Cricetulus griseus: one gene and its partner. The protein of the gene in region 1 purifies or fractionates together with the protein of each later gene. This does not show direct contact. Links are inferred from orthologs where the notes say so. Each region holds a gene or a part of one and is shown in the gene's direction. Other genes may lie near its edges.

The links. Proteins that work in one complex are often made in the same cells at the same time.
Region 2: the proteins of Bag2 (region 1) and Tbl1xr1 purify together in Homo sapiens (affinity purification with mass spectrometry; 3 studies listed by BioGRID and IntAct, with this or other methods). This does not show direct contact. The link is inferred for Cricetulus griseus from reciprocal best matches to the Homo sapiens genes BAG2 and TBL1XR1.

Annotation. Positions count from the first base shown.
Region 1 is NW_023276807.1:14,224,337-14,232,918, forward strand, and holds the start of Bag2 (BAG family molecular chaperone regulator 2), read left to right. Parts: upstream 1-4,225; 5' UTR 4,226-4,296; coding exon 4,297-4,409; intron 4,410-8,582. UniProt on the Homo sapiens protein: Co-chaperone for HSP70 and HSC70 chaperone proteins. Acts as a nucleotide-exchange factor (NEF) promoting the release of ADP from the HSP70 and HSC70 proteins thereby triggering client/substrate protein release.
Region 2 is NW_023276806.1:126,264,324-126,272,124, reverse strand, and holds part of Tbl1xr1 (F-box-like/WD repeat-containing protein TBL1XR1), read left to right. Parts: intron 1-2,016; coding exon 2,017-2,162; intron 2,163-3,520; coding exon 3,521-3,743; intron 3,744-4,242; coding exon 4,243-4,399; intron 4,400-4,822; coding exon 4,823-4,964; intron 4,965-5,380; coding exon 5,381-5,444; intron 5,445-5,531; coding exon 5,532-5,629; intron 5,630-6,646; coding exon 6,647-6,707; intron 6,708-7,801. UniProt on the Homo sapiens protein: F-box-like protein involved in the recruitment of the ubiquitin/19S proteasome complex to nuclear receptor-regulated transcription units. Plays an essential role in transcription activation mediated by nuclear receptors.

The DNA of each region.
Region 1 (8,582 bases):
GTGATTTTCAAATACATGCTGATGGGTATCAGGCTAGGCTTGAGTTGGGGTCTTTCACCGTGAGATTGTGCCTCAAAAGACTAAAACACAAATTTCTAAATAAGACATTTTTCTTTTTTTGTTAAGACAAAAAAATGTGGCTTGAATACTGGATAGTTTAATATGAAATAGCATTTCTGGTGTTTTCAATCCATACTAAAAATCATTTTTTTAAATGTCACTTTTTGAGCTGAGTATGTTGTGTCTTGGTCCTTTTCTGGGATACGTAGGGCAGAGCTTATATCCCAGGTGCTGCTTTAAAAGCAGTGTGTCTCCTCTCTGCCTACACTCTTGTTTTGGTTTTGATTTTTTGTTTGTTTTTCAGAGTGTCTAACCATTTTCCTTAAAGCTATCCTGGAGGAGCTAGTGAGCACCTAGAAGGGCCTCCAGCTGTCACTGTCTTCTACTTTGTGAGTGTTGGGATTCTGGGGGGGAATGTTTTACTTTTTTGGCTCTTTGGGGGGCCCAATACCCAGCTTCAAAATAAATCACACATGGAGGCTTATTATTCTTAGTTATTTATACTCTCTGCCTGCCAGCTCCACCTATTCTTGCTCTTGCCTTGCTACTGGCCATCCATCTCTTCATTAGACCAATCGGGTATGTTAGGCAGGCAAACTAAAACAGCTTCACAGAGTTAAGCAAATGCAGCATCAGCAAAAGTCAAACACCTTAAAGTAATATTCCCCAATACAGAGGTTTGCCACTATGCCTTTCTTTTTTAAGTAGATATTATAGCTTGAGAATTTGGTATTTATATTGCAAAATCAATCAGACTGTGCTTTATTTTTCTTTTGCTTTTGTTTTCAAGAAGCTGTCACTATGCAGCCCAGGCTGCTTTGACATTTTTATGTTAAAGTGTCAAGCAAGGCTATATAAAAGGCAGTCCTCATGTTGATCTTAAACACATTTGCAGGACCTTGCTAAACAACAAGAAAGACAACCTTGAAAGTAGCTATGCAGATCTGGAACAAGAAGAAACATTTGCATTTCTTTGCCAGAAATTCCACAGAAATTCTACATCCAAGCATGGTGTACCCTGATAGTCTGTTAAGGAGCTTTTGTGTTAAGTGTGTGGCTCAGTGTTTGCCTAGTGTGCCTAAGATCAGGGATTCACTCCCAGCACCTCCTATAGCATTCATACAGCAGCCGAACCTTTTGGTTTGACAGGAAAGGGATAGTTCCCTGAGGCTCTTAGGAAGAGGTAACAGTGTTCTTTAATGTGTTAACATCATTACTCACTAAATGATTTTAAAACATTATAAAACTGCTTCATAATTTGAATTTAGACAGGAATCATTAATAATAAAGTTGTAGATTATTATCTCAAGTATATTTCTAATATTGATAACAGGGTTTTTTTTTTTTTTTTCATTTCATTGTTAATTCACTTGTTCACAAAGTATTGTGGATCTACCAAGTGACAGCAGCTGCTCAAAGTACATGAGATGGGACAGTGATCCTAAGAGCTCCGGTCCCTCTACTGCTCAGACATGGAGAGTGGGCTATATGGAGAGAGTATTGGGTAACAAGCAGATAGGTAAAACTGTACCTATTGGGGATAATGTAGTAAGTATAGAAGCAGTGAGAATGATGCCGGATTCAGGGTGGGTTGCAGCACTGGGGATCATCAAATCTGGGGCAGCATCCATGCTAGGCAAACACTCTCTACCACTTAGCTCTCCCCAACCCTAGAATTACTTCTTTTTTTGAGCCAGCATCTTGCTGTGTAGCCTAGGTTAGTCTCCAATCCAGGTCCTCCTGGTCAGCCTTATGCTTGATGGGATTACAGATGTGCGCCCACTCCGCTCAGCTCAGGCTTGATATTTTTAACAGTGGTCAGGAAAAATTTCACTGGTAAGTGAACTTAAGCCAAGATTCAAAGAAGGCAAAGGAATCAGCCATGCAAAAAAATGTACAAGGTGGCCCCTGACTTGTGGTTTGATTTAGGATTTTGCAAAAGTGACACACACTTAAGAGAAATGGTGCTTCTTTTGTTTGCTCTGTGGTGAGCCACAGGAGGTTCCTGAGGGTTTGGTACAATCTACTGTGCTTAAATACTGTATTAAGAATTCCCAAGAGATGTCCGGGCGTTGGTGGTGCACGCCTTTAATCCCAGCACTCGGGAGGCAGAGGCAGGTGGATCCCTGTGAGTTCGAGACCAGCCTGGTCTATAAGAGCTAGTTCCAGGACAGTCTCCAAAGCCACAGAGAAACCCTGTTTCGAAAAACCAAAAAAAAAAAATTCCCAAGAGAGGCAAGATAGATGCCGAGGGAGCGGATGGGGCTTTGCAGTCACCCAGGGAAGACTGGCCAGGTGATGGTGGGATTGGAAGAGTCAAGATATATTCTGAAAGTAGAATTGGGACTTACTAATGGGTTGGGTCCAGGATATGAGTGAAAGTCCAGAGTGATTCTAGTCTAGAACCCTGAAAATTACCAAACCTGTAACAAAATGTTCTGTTGGTTGTGAAACCAAAATAAGCACAGCCAAGATGAAAACTACAAAGGTTTGCAACCTGTACTGGGTAGGAAGGAAGAGCATGGGAGCCATTACCAAAGCAAAGCTCTCCACAAACTCCACAAGCACTGGGGATTTCGTTCAGAGAGTCTATAGTCATATGGGAGGAGCCTGGCCATTCAGAAGCACACTCTCTCTAAAGAGTTCACACATCTTTAGACAGGAACACACATGTAGTCTGAAAATGCCTCTGTGTGTGCCCAACTGGTGACACAAAATTAAAATAAAATGGTTACTTTGAAGATATCTGCTATATTAGTTCCTTTTGCTGGGATAAAACACCATGACCAAGGCAACTTATAAATCATTTAAGCCCCGCGGTGGTGGCACTTGCCTTTGATCCCAGTACTCAGGAGGCAGAGGCAGGCAGATCTCTGTGAGTTCCAGACCAGCCTGGTCTACAGAGGGAGTTCCAGGACAGGTTCCAAAGCTACAGAAAAACCCTGTCTCAAAAAACAAAGCAAAACATCATTTAATTGGGCTCAGCTACAGAGGGTCAGAGTCACGATGGCATCAAGGACAGGTTCTGAGCACTCATCTGGAACCCAAGGAGGAGGCAGAGACACACTGGGAATGGCTAGTCTTCTGCAACATGCCCAGAGTGACATACTTCCTCCAGCAAGACCACACATAATCGTTCCCAAACAGCCAACTGAGGACCAGATGCCAGAGAGCATAAGACACTGAATCCATGACATCTGCCTTGTTTAGTTGCTAACCTAGGACAAAGGCAGATGCTATACCACCGAGCTACGTCTACAGCCCCTTATACTTTTTGAGATTTTTAGCTCTTGGCAAAGCAACCCCGCCTGGCCTTTGAACTCACTCTGGCCCGAGAGACACAATCCTTTATCAACATCCAGATGAGCTGGCATTAGACCTGAGATGAGCGCAAGCTTCGATTTTTCAAGACATTCACAAAACGTTCAAATTTCACATTTGTGTCATGAAATGACAATGTTTAATGAAGCCAGATAACCTACTGTTCCTTATTATGTAAAATGAGTTGGGGATGGGGCGGGTGGTGATGGTGGTGGAGGACCTGGAAGCCAGCTGTGCTTAAGGGACTTGACTCTGTTAAGTCATCAAATGGCTTTGAGTTCTGATTCAAGGTTGTAAATCCAAGTTTCTCATTTTCTGTGCACCGAGAGGACAAAACACAACTCTAACCAGACATGGCTTTGTATTTCAACCCTACTCCACCTCTTAGTGACCTCTGCAGGAGCCTATTGAATATTATTCACGGAGGATTTCAATAAGTTGGGTGTGAAAGTAATAACCTTTCATTAGAAAGGCGAGACAGTATAAATGCACTTGGCTTTTCCTTATTTGGAGCACAGTGTTGCCCAGGCTCTCCCTGTCCTCTTAGGAGCCTGCCTGGTAACCCGGCAGGTCGGGCAAGTAGAGACTGCCCCTAAGGCGCACTCAATTGTCTTAACGCTACACCAGGGGATCTTTTCTCCCACGTCACGGGCCGCACGATTTTGTCCCTGCTGTGAATTGTGGGTGTTGGGACAAACATCAGAAGCCATCGGCGAGCCGGCAGCCCGGTGGGAGGCTGGCGACGGGCACCGGGACAGGGTCCCCCACCCGAGTGCTGGCGGCTGCGCCCGCGCCTGCCCTTGTTTGGCCGCGCGGCCTCGGGGGCGGTGCCGTCCGCGTCAGCGGCGCCCGCGGTGACGGCGACGTGCGGCCCGCGCCACTGCTGCCCGCGGACGCCCCGGACCCCCGGAGCTCATGGCCCAGGCGAAGATCAGCGCCAAGGCCCACGAGGGTCGCTTCTGTCGCTCCTCGTCCATGGCAGACCGCTCCAGTCGCCTGCTGGAGAGCCTGGACCAGCTGGAGCTCAGGTGAGGGCGGGCGGGCGGGTGAGCGTGCAGGCGGGGGCGCCTCGGGTGGGCTCCACTCCCCGGGCGAGCGCGCGCGGCCTGCCCAACTTCCAGAACCTTGTGTGTGGTCCCCGCTGCCTCTAACTTCCACGTTTCCAGTAATGCTCTTTGGAGGGAGGCAGCAGCTTAGTGGGGTCTCTCCCTCCCACCTTCCCATTGTAGTAAGTTTCTTTGCCCCAAACCACTTCATAGTAACACAAGAGTAAGGAAAATTCCAGACTGCACCTCCCGCGACCAGCGAGAATTAGACCCACGAGTGGCCGTTGTGGGTGGCAAAGTTGGATGCGTTCTTTCATTTTCTTAACCACGTGCAATGCCCTCCGCATTCGGTCTGTATCTGTTGTGCATTTAGAAGATACTGATGACACCTAGGAAGTGCCAGCCACAGGCCTGAAAAGGTACGAGTCACACTCTGCCTGAGATTCTATCGCAGGATCGGTGTTGTAGTAAAATTTCTAAATAGTAAATACTAGCAAATGCTGTAAATACTTTGTTGCCTACAGCAATTTGAGATCTTACCTATCTGGTTAATGTCTCCGAAGTTGTGCAAGTCTTGATTGTGTGCAGGTGTTGTTCCATGAAAATCTTATCAAGGCACCCTGGGTCTTCTGGAACTGCGAACATTTTGTTCCCTAGTTTTCTCCAGGTTCTGCATAAGCAAAAGAATATGAGCAAAATCATAAGAGTCTTGTGTGCCTAATCTCCTTCCATTCGTCCACCAAACAAACAAACGGGAGGATGTTTGCACAGAAAACTACCACAAGCAGCATTGTTACAAATGAGGCATTTGTTATTATTACTATTAGGAGCAGAGATCCAGACGGTGAGAAATTTTTTTCACAATTTCCTGAGTAGCCACAAGAGAAGCCTTAACCATACAGTCCCCAGCCCGGAGTGAGACAAAGGGACCTCAGCTTTCAAGCCCTTCTGAGGAGAGGGAATGCTTCCCTCTACAAAGTAGGCACTGAACTTGGACAGTATATTCTCAACTGCTCAGATTTTTTTCTCCTTGAAAGGGTTTAGGAAGTTGTTACTCTTCTTTAGCTGAGTCACTGTCCTGAAACCTGAATTAATGCCTCCCTAGTGCTGGGTAGGGGGGTGGAGGGGGTTCCTGAAAGCCTTGGGTTTGGTGTTGCAGTCTAATGTTTGGTTAATGTAAAAGGAATTCTGACTGTTGCACATATGTGATTAATTGATACTTTAACTATTTGCTGAGAGGGAGAGTTTAATGTGTGTTTAATGGCTCAAGGCATGGGGCTCCTTTTTAGAAGCCACTTTGACACAGGGCACTGCACTATTAAAAATTTAGACTTTTAGCTGGGCAGTGGTGGCACACACCTCTAATCCCAGCACTCGGGAGGTAGAAGCAGGTGGATATCTGTGAATTTGAGGCCAGCCTGGTCTACACAGTGAGTTCCAGGACTGGCTTCATAGTTACTGAGAAACCCTGTCTTAAAAAAAAACAAAATAAAACAAAACAAAATTTTTAAATATGGATGATAGAGGAAAGATGAAGCTTGTGTGATTTCCCGATACTAGCTTCCTTGTATACAAATATTAGCAAGGCTGTGGATTTGGTGCTGTAAAACCCTGGTTTGTAGATAGTATGCATTTTCCAGTCAGTTGTGTGGATTCTATTGACAGTGGAAGTCACTTTTTCTTCTGAAACTGAAACCACATCAAAGGCTTTATATCCTGGAGGCTGAACTGACCTCTGGGATTGCCTAAAATGCTTTAAAATGTTCAGCCCTGTTTTACAAGCTGTTAGTGGATTGTCGTTCGTTTCTATTAGTTTATAATATTAACTACACTATCTGACATTAAAAAAAATATTTTCTACTACAGCTCCTCTAAAGAGGTAACCCTGTCCTTTCTTGATTTTTGCGACCAGTTCTATGGGATTCTGCGCCCTTCGTGGCTAGATGGCTTACTTATTACTTTTTAATGTTTATCCTAGTTTATAAATAATACATGTTAGCATCTATCTGCATGCTAGGCCTCATGCCTCTGTGGGAGTTACCATTATCTGTATTCTACAGATGAGAAATTGAAGCTCAGATATAAACGACATGCCTCAAGTTGCAGCCAAGAGCTGTGGACTCCACGTTTGAACACAGGAAGAGGGGCTGCTCAGATCAAACACCATGTGTCTTAGTGTTGAATATATCATTTTTCAAACTGTCCAGTTGGCATAAGAACGTGCTTTTACTAAAAGAAAAATCAATTTAGCATTTAATTGAGTAAATATTGAGCACCCAGTACGTGCCAAGTATTGAGTAGCTTCTAGAAGCTGTGGGTGATAAAGCAGCTGGGTCTCGGGGATTGGCAGAGGAGGAATGAATGATAGGTAGGACTGGGAGGTCGGCTGTCCGTACACTTCCCAAATGGTCCCATAGGGAGTAGTTCTTTCCAGTCCACCCAGGCAGGAAATGATGTTGTCGCCAGGGCCAAGGAAATGCACTGTCCGCTGCTTTGGTTTCTTACTGCTTAAGGTTCCTGTCAGGATGTCCCAGTGTCCCAGGACTCACAAAGCAAGTCGACACCATATTTAATTGGAGTAATAGTCTGTAATTTAAAAGAACACTTTTCATATACCTTGTAATTTGAAACTTCTATAACCCTTGAGGAGGAGGAAGCTGTTATTATCTCTTTCAGCTGTGAGAGCAGTGGGTTGCAAAGGAGCTTAGTTGATAGGATGCTTGTCTAGCAGGTTCAGAACCCTACGTTTGATACCTGGCTTCAGAAAGCCAGCATGGTGGTGCATGCCTATAGTCCCAGTCCTAGAGACAAGAGGATCAGAAGTTCAAGGTCATCCTGGGCTATACAGTGAGTTCTGGGCCAGCCTGGAATACATGAGACCTGTCTGGATGGGGGGGGAGGAGAAACTGAGGGACTAGGTACCTTGTCTTAATCTATTGTACTGGTGAGTCATTCTGACTGTGAATGAGTGCTACATTTTGGTGAAGGAGAGAACCTTGCTGTCCTGACAGTATCAGGAATTGCAGCAGATGCCATGGTCTCACATGGAGCCTCGTCTGTGAGTTTAAGATCTTGTTTTAGAAAAAGTTCCTTTCTCATAAATCCACTGATGTGAACGTTTGCCAGTTCCCTGTTCATAGAAGCATACATTTTTGTTAACAAATGAGAGTGTGGCCGTGAGTAAGTCTAGAATAACCACCGTGAATCTCCTGCAGCTGATGTCATGCATAGCGTTTGACTCATGCCAAAGTTTTCAGCCGGTGCTGTCATTCTGGTTTGCTTTGTTCGGTCACGGCCAGGTCTCCTTATCCTTGGTGTCCTGGGTGAGGACATTTTGGTGAAGTCAGCAGTAGTTCCTCACACAGCATGGGTGGTAGCTCCGGAGTTGTCACTTTTGTGAGCTGCTGTCTGGTGACACCTGTCTGCACCTGCCCTTCTACCAGTTTGCCCTTGCTGCAGGCTTATGAGATGCCGGGAGGCTGGGGACCAAGTGAGGATGCTGCAGTTTTGTGTGCATGGAAATTCTCCCTACAGTCTCTTTGCCAGAGCCCGCTCAGAGTGCAGCTTGCCAGAGGTGCCGCCCAGTCAGCGGGGCTGTGAGATGCCTCCTTTCCCAATTTGGACATGTAGCTGCTCCCTGGATCCCAGTCCCCACAGAAATGCCCCTTGATGACAAGAGAAGAATCATCACATGTGTTTATCAAGACTGGATGTTTATATCTGTCTATCTACTTAAGAAACTAATAGGAAGGGAGGCAGACAGTATATAAGGTTCAGTCACTAACCTCAGACTAATGGAAAAGCTACATAGACAAAATTCTGTGAATTGAGTTTAAGTACAGCAATAAAACAGTGCAAACATAATTTAAACAAGCTGAGTAGTGAGGAATGCTGGCCTAGTGCACATGAAACCCTAGGTTCCATCGCCAGTACAGATAAACCAGGCATCGTCTATGTCTGTAACACCAGCACTCAGGAGGTAGAAGTGGAAAGGTCAGAAGCTCAAGTGGATTCCAAGCTAGCCTGGGATACATGAGGTCCTGTCTCAGAGGGAAGAGGGTGGGGGTAAGACCAATGAACAGTGCTGTCCTGCCTTCTTTTAAAGTCAGCTTGAAACAAGCTAGGGCCATTTGGGAAGAATGACTCTCAACTGAG
Region 2 (7,801 bases), on another chromosome or scaffold:
TCTCAGTCCCTAAGGAACAACTGAGCAATGATGACTGCTGTTCTCAAGTGTAGTATTTTGACTTTTCAAGAGAATCAGGAAGCAGGATGGATTTGAGTCCCTATTGCGTCCTGTGACTGTCCCCAGCCTTAATTCATAATATAATGCAATAAAGAGCTGGTGTGTTTTCCATAATGGCATCTTCTGTTTCAAAGTCTTCTAAGTGGTTGCCCCCACCCCATTTTTGATTTGTTGAAGAACTTATTTGGGGACTGTCATGTTATTTACATAGAAATCCCCAACCTCCAACTTCATTGCCTCGTCTCCAGTCCTCTCTCTTAATACTTCCAAGAATTAGGCTTGCCTTTCTGTGCTGGTGATCTGGAAGCTAGACCTCCCCAGATTCTGGAACTTGGGATTCCTGAAGGATACTTCAGAAAGGTGTCTTTCTCCCCTGTCTCACAGCCACATTTGTTTCTGCCATCTTTGTGACTTCAGATAAAACACAAAACCTTTAATGTGCCTAAACACAAACTAGTCTGTGGGGGAAGTCATGAAGTTAAAACTAAAGTCTTAGAAAAATGACTGTCTCCCCCTCCCACCGTGGGCCATTAAGGAAGGCATGGCTAGCAGAAGTACAAGCTTCGAGGAGAACCCAGCCAGGTGTACTCTGTCCACCCACGAGCCTTTCCCAGCCACATGCTGTTTGGATGTGTACAGGCTTTAAACTTAGTAAACTGTGATGGGATTTCACAGAGAGCAGCCATCCTGTCTGTTACTGGAACTTCTCTTTGTTATCTGGACTAGACTTTCACTATAATATGAAGTTAATATAAAGAGACTGGCTATGTGAGTTTCATGCTTTGAAGTATTTTTTTAAATTATTTAACTTTTTGAGATGGCCTTTCCTTGTAGCCATCCCCTGGCTATCCTGGAAAATGTTGTGTAATGTGCCTCTGCTTCCTGAGTTTTGGGACTAATTTGTCAAAGGAGACCTACCTAGAAACTGGACTTTCATTTTATAGTTCTTTTCTTAAGTGCTTGTTTAGATGAGTTATTCCTAAATTATGAGTATTTTTTAAAACAATGGATATAAAATAATTTTATATAAAAAGTTCAAGTGTTATAATTTGGCTTTTTATTTCTTTTGGAGACAGTCTCACACAGTACAGGTTAGCAAAAGATAACCTTGAACTCTGATCTCCCTGCCTGCATCTCCTGCATGTTAGCAGTACTGGTGTGCACCATTGTCCACAGTTTTCTCAGTGCTGGCTTGGAGCCCAGGACTTCATGCATAACTAGGCAAGCACTGAGCCACATCTCCAGCCCAAGTCTGTTATCATTTTGCCTTTTTTTTTAATTATAGCTTGCATTTTATTCGCTAATTTTTTTAAGCTACAAAACAATGAAGGTGCTTGACAGTTTGTCTCTAAAATTTCAAATATACCACAGAAATAAGACCTGCCATATAAATCTTGATTTCTGTTTGTCTCATGAGGCAGTTTAGGTCCATTGTTTCTCAAGGCTTTTCAGTTTTTACATTTGATGCATTTTCTTCAGGAAAGCTGTGTTACTGTTAGAAATACTAGAGCCATTCGCTATGGTGGGATGCCTTGCTCCATCCTGATACAGGGGTGAGGGGCTTGGCCCTACCTCTACTTGGTAATCCAGACTTTGTTGACTCCCCAAGGAAGGCCTTACCCCCTCTGACAAGTGGGGGTTGGGAAGGAAGGAGGTGGGGAGAGGGGAAGGAGGGGGAACTGAGGTTGGTATGTAAAATGAAAAATAACTTTTTAAATTAAAAAAAGAGAAAAAGTACAAAAGAAAAACTGGAGCCAACTAACCTAGTAGATGCCAGAAAGTTACTAGCACTGCATTGATCATTGGTTTAAACTCATATTTTACTTTAGCTGTCCATTTACAATTTCAAGTGATGGCGTGTGATTATGAAAGATTATAAAGTTTTTTTTTCCCATTTGTAATTTAATGTGAAATTACTAAGAAAGTAAATTCTCAGGTCTTTTCTTTTGCTTTTAGGATTTTCTCATTCCGCGTTTACCTTTGGTATAGAGAGCCATATAAGTCAGTCCAATATAAATGGCGCCCTTGTCCCACCTGCTGCATTGATCTCCATCATCCAGAAAGGCCTACAGTATGTAGAGGCAGAAGTTAGCATAAATGAGGTAAGGCAGACGAGTTTCATTTCAGACACTGATTCTGATTCTTAAATGCATTTGTTTATTCAGTATCTGACTCGATTTCACTGTATTCAGACAAAATAAGGTCATCATTCTTAATGTACCAGTCAGGTTGTACTAGCTATGCATGTGGGCTTCGCTCCAGTGGCCTGAGTCTAGATTATTCCTTAAGGGAGGGGGTGGAGGGGGTGGGGAAGCTGTGTGTGTGTGTGTGTGTGTGTGTGTGTGTGTGTGTGTGTGTGTGTGTGTGTTTGTGCTTTAAGTAAGCACAAGGAAATAATTTTTAACAAATAATGAATTTTGCTTTATTGTACGGCAACAACTTGATGGCAAGCATTGGGAAATCCATTGTTTAGTGTCATGTACCCTGATTATTGAATCCAGGTATTTATAATGGATGCCCACTCTTGATGCTCAGAGCTGCATGTGTGAGGTTCATGTGTAAGTAGGGGGTTTGTTTCAGGTGTTGGCATGCTTCTGGGGCCTGATTCTGTAGATCAGCTTTGTAACTCAGGCAGACTCATTCACATTTGGACTGTCTGGGTGGATACTGGGAACATGAGGTGCTGTGACACGGATCTTAAATGCACACACTGCCTGCTCTTTCCTAGAAGTCTGCAGAACTTTGCTCTAGCTAGAAAGTTTAATGTATTTCCAGGACTCAGAACACGTTGAGGTGTTCCCTTTATTCTTTACTTGAAAAGTGAACACACTCCTCCCCTGCCCTTCCCCCCAAAAACATAAGTGGAAGGATTTTAGCTGTTTAAAGTGTCCATTCTCCTGTTGGTATCCTCAAGGATGGGTCCCTCATTGCCACAGTGAGCACCATCTACAGTGCTCTTGATTTACACCAAATGGTACACATCTAGATCACATATATGATGTGCTTGTTACCCTGTTATGTTTAAGGAAAATCTACAAGAAAAAGATCTGCCCCAGTTCAGTACAGGTGCATTTATTTTTTTTCCAAGGCCTGGATTCAGAGTACTGATGAGACACTGCCTCTTTGTTGTATGAGCTACTCTTATTGGTTGATGTTTTTTACTGACAGCCTTCATTACCTGAATTTGACATATTTCCATTTTATTATCTGTTTAAGAGCTTTTATGAGTGGCCTCTTGTATTGCATTTGTCTTTGTAGAGTTTAGCAGGATGTAAGTGAAGAGTAGAGGGCCATTTGCATCTGCCTCATTCAGGGTCATTCTTATTCTCTTCTCTCCTTCCTGCTCAAATTCAGAAAATTACCAGGTTTTCCTCAAAGTGAAGCTCTTCATTCTGTTAGTGGAATGCATGTCACCCTCAAGGCTACATCTCATTTTTCTTTCCGGGTTTTCCAATCTCAGGATGGCACCTTATTTGATGGTCGGCCCATTGAGTCTCTGTCGCTGATCGATGCTGTTATGCCCGATGTAGTCCAAACAAGACAACAAGCCTACAGAGACAAGCTTGCACAGCAACATGCAGCCGCCGCTGCAGCTGCCGCCGCAGCCACTAACCAGCAAGGATCTGCAAAAAATGGAGAGAATACAGCAAATGGGGAGGAGAATGGAGCACATACCATCACAAGTGAGCTAAGAATGTTTAGAGAGTCTCAGAAAACACTTGGCCTTACATAGACTGTCCCATCCTTAGAACTGAAATGATACCTCTATGCCCAACTTAGGTCACACAGCTCAGAGTTTATACTTAAGGTTCCAAAAAGCTAAATTCACTGTATATTCCTTTTTAGGTGTTTTTGAACCCTTTTTCTCTTAGAATTCCGAATCTGCCTTTGATTTTTAAGTAAAAGTTGGAATGTTCTCTCTTAAACATAAGTAAGGCTATGACATTGAGGAATAAAGATGACTCTCATGTTATATGAACGATATCAGCAACCCCTACTGGCAGAAACTCAGAATAATATTGTTATAGATGGTTTAATTCAGCCACATTATCATTCCAGCCATGCTGAGGTTCACTCCCTTTTCACTCCTCTTTCTCCCTTGCCTCCTTCCATATCCACATCTGTGTATATAGACCCTCACATGCTTAGGACTAGTACTAGAATTGTGATTACCTCTTACAGAGATTGTTGCTTCTCATGATGCAGATAATCACACTGACTTGATGGAAGTAGATGGGGATGTTGAAATCCCTCCCAACAAAGCAGTTGTGCTACGGGGCCATGAATCTGAGGTTTTCATCTGTGCCTGGAACCCTGTTAGTGATCTCCTGGCATCAGGGTAGGTTTTTCAAAGGATGTTGGGTATTTTGTTTGGTTTTAGACAGGATTTACTGTTTAGGGGAGGCTAGTTTTGAACTGTTGACCCTCCTGAGTCCTGAGATTAATAGGCCTGCTGCAACATACCCAGATCTACAGTGCCAATTAAGGCTACCTTACTGAATGGACTGTTGCATATTTTGTATGTATTTCACTTTCCAGGTGCTTGTTGCCTGCTTCTGGTCATGTTACCTTAGTAAATTGATATTTCCTGTGAAGTAACTTTAGAATTTCTTGGTAGGAGCTCTAAAATGTAGAATAAGAAAAATATTGGGAATGTTTATGCCTGGTAGTCTGCTTCTTACTCAGATGCTAAATGTATGGCCTGAGTTTTGGAATGCTGGAGAATGTCATGAGGACTTAAACCTATTTTTGAACTTTGAAGGTCTGGAGACTCCACAGCAAGAATATGGAATCTTAGTGAAAACAGCACGAATGGTCCCACACAGCTGGTGCTTAGGCATTGCATACGGGAAGGAGGACAGGACGTTCCCAGCAACAAGGATGTCACTTCTCTAGATTGGAATGTGAGTGTCCCTTGCTTTAGTGGTTTGTGAATGAAGGCATTTGAGGATTTGGCTGTACAGTCAACCTGGCTCCAAATTCCTAAGTCCTGATCAGAATTTTACTTTTTACTTCTTATAAAACCATTTTCGTGGTGGTGTTTTGATGTCCTTTTAGTCTGCAACCTACCTCCATCCTCATTCATGGGTGTCTATGAAAATATTCTGCAGAGGGTTATTGTCAGTCCTACTCCACAGCGGTTATGACCAGTGCTCAGATTTGGGGTGGGCCTTTCAAGAGCATTGACTTCATCAGGGAAAGGGGTTTTGCCGGCCTTTGGTGGCACTCACACAGAGATGAGATTCCTTTGTGCCTGGACATATTCATAGTAATTAAGTAGCCTTAATTGTGTAATGAACAAAATTTATTTCTCTGGCAGAGTGAAGGTACACTTCTAGCAACTGGGTCATATGATGGATTTGCCAGAATATGGACTAAAGATGGTATGTATTTTTCTAACTTTATTGATGTTCTATGTTATAAAGTTTGAAGTAATTTTAAAGTTTTTTTTTGTTGTTGTTGTTGTTTAGGTAATCTTGCCAGCACCTTAGGGCAGCATAAAGGCCCTATATTTGCATTAAAATGGAATAAGAAAGGAAATTTCATCCTAAGTGCTGGAGTAGATAAGGTAAATGATTATTTACCTAACCTGTATAACACTATATTTGAAAGTAATTTTTTTCTTTTCTGATAATCATTTAAACTTCAGTGCATTCAAGTATGGATTTTTGACAGTAATAGAAATAATTTCTTGTTGTCCGCTTGTTTTCCTTAATCTACTCATCATATCTTTTGTTTATAAGCATTCTTCATTTTTGCTGGAATTTGAACCTAATGAATGTTATCATTCAGCACTTTGTGCTTTGCCAGTTTATCTCAGTGGTGGCTGTAACTCTGGAGTGACTCCGTGGGCCATCCATGTCTTCCTGTGCTCTGTGAAGTAAATAGAGACTGGTTGGAACTGGCTCCTCCTCCTCTAGGCCCCCTCTACCACACTTCCCTAAATAATAAAAGGTTTAAGACTTTTTTTGTTCCAGCAAAGAACAGGCTATTAATCATTTGGGTGGTGTTGGGAAGGGGACATAAACTGGCTTAGATTCATAGTTCTGATGAGTAGTTTTCACAGACTGATGAAGGTATCTGGGGAGGAGAAGAGCCAGTACTGTCTTTCTCATAAGCAGCTTCAGGACCTGCCTTAAATGGTATCAAAAATGGAAACATCTATTTTTCTTTCTTTTTTGTCCATGTAAGCTTCAGGAAAGGAGAAATGTTTCAGTATTCCGGGATAGGTGATTTCACTACAACCTTCTAACTTCAGAGCTGTAAAAATGCATATTGAACACACCATTGCAGTGGAACCTGTTACACAGTCTAATATAATGCCAGGCACTTTGTTGACAAACAATAGTTGTTACTAGAAATAAGTTGGTGAAAAATTGCCACAAAAAAGTTAAACTACGTCATGGTCATTTCCCCTGACCTACCTGAGTGTGAATGATGCCCTTGTGCTGTGAGGAATAAAAACATTGAAGATGAAGTTCACTGTCGAGTTTCATTCTGCCTTAATGCAGTCAGGCATCCATTCTTGCATTCACATACTCTTTAACGTCAGAGAAATTAATTTTTCTTTTCCTTTTAATCTCAGACTACCATTATTTGGGATGCACACACTGGTGAAGCCAAGCAGCAGTTTCCTTTCCATTCAGGTAAATCTTGACAATACACATGGAAGCTGAAGCTCTCTTCTGTTTCTCTAATTAGAGTGTTGGCCTCATGGAATTCGTTCAGGACCTTGACTGTCAGACAGCATTCTTGGTACCAGTCCTCTCAGGAGGTGTTCCACAGCTTTCAGATAGTTCTTTTTGGAGGATCAGCAGGTTTTCTGTGAAATGTACTGTTAAGGAAACACCCTAGTGGTATGGTTGGGGTGGTGCTGTAGAATTGGACGGTCTGGCCATGACTGTACATTCTCCACTTGATAAGCTCTCGGTTCACTTAACCTTTTAAGCCTTCTTTTCACTATATGCAAATGATGAGGGCTCTTGATAGCTATTTATAGCTATCTTGATAGCAGGGATAAGAAAAATGGCTTATGTAAGGATAAATTCAACTGTTACAGGTTTACATTTCATCATCTTGTGCATTTTAGATTGATGTGTCATGGGCAGGTCTCATGTCTGAGCAATGAAAGATGGGCTTTCTCGGTGTCACATGGAGGTTTGTTCCTGTGAGATGTTTAGCCGTGTTTGGGCATGTGGCTCAGTGCAGTCAGTGCCTTCATCCTGGAGCCACTGTACCTGTTCTCACTGACTAGTTCTGTCATTTTAGAAGTCAGGGAGGAACAAAATTATATCCCAGGCAGCTTCAGACTCAAAATAATCTTCCTTCTTCAGCCTCCAGGATACTAGGGTTACAGGTGTGTAAGTCTGGCTTCTCAGTTCATTTCTTGATTTCAGTAACTAAGTAATATTGACTGCAACAAGATGCATGAAGACAATCAGAGCAGTAGTTTTAGCATTACCTGGTAATAGTTGCTGCTTTGAGGCTTGTGCTCTGAAGCAGAGCAGATGGTTGTAGTTATCATCCTCATGTCTTTAGTAATGAAAAGCCACTTACAAAGAGCTAGAAGTGTAGCTGTGACCAAACAAACCAACTAGGAGCAAAATGATATTTTGGTATGATCTAGTAGAGTGGTTTGCAGATATTATGTTAAGAACCAGGCATTTTAATTCTATCACAGCTTACCACAGCGTACGTGTTTGTACAGCACCCCCTGTTTACCTGTTCTGCTTCTCTTTGA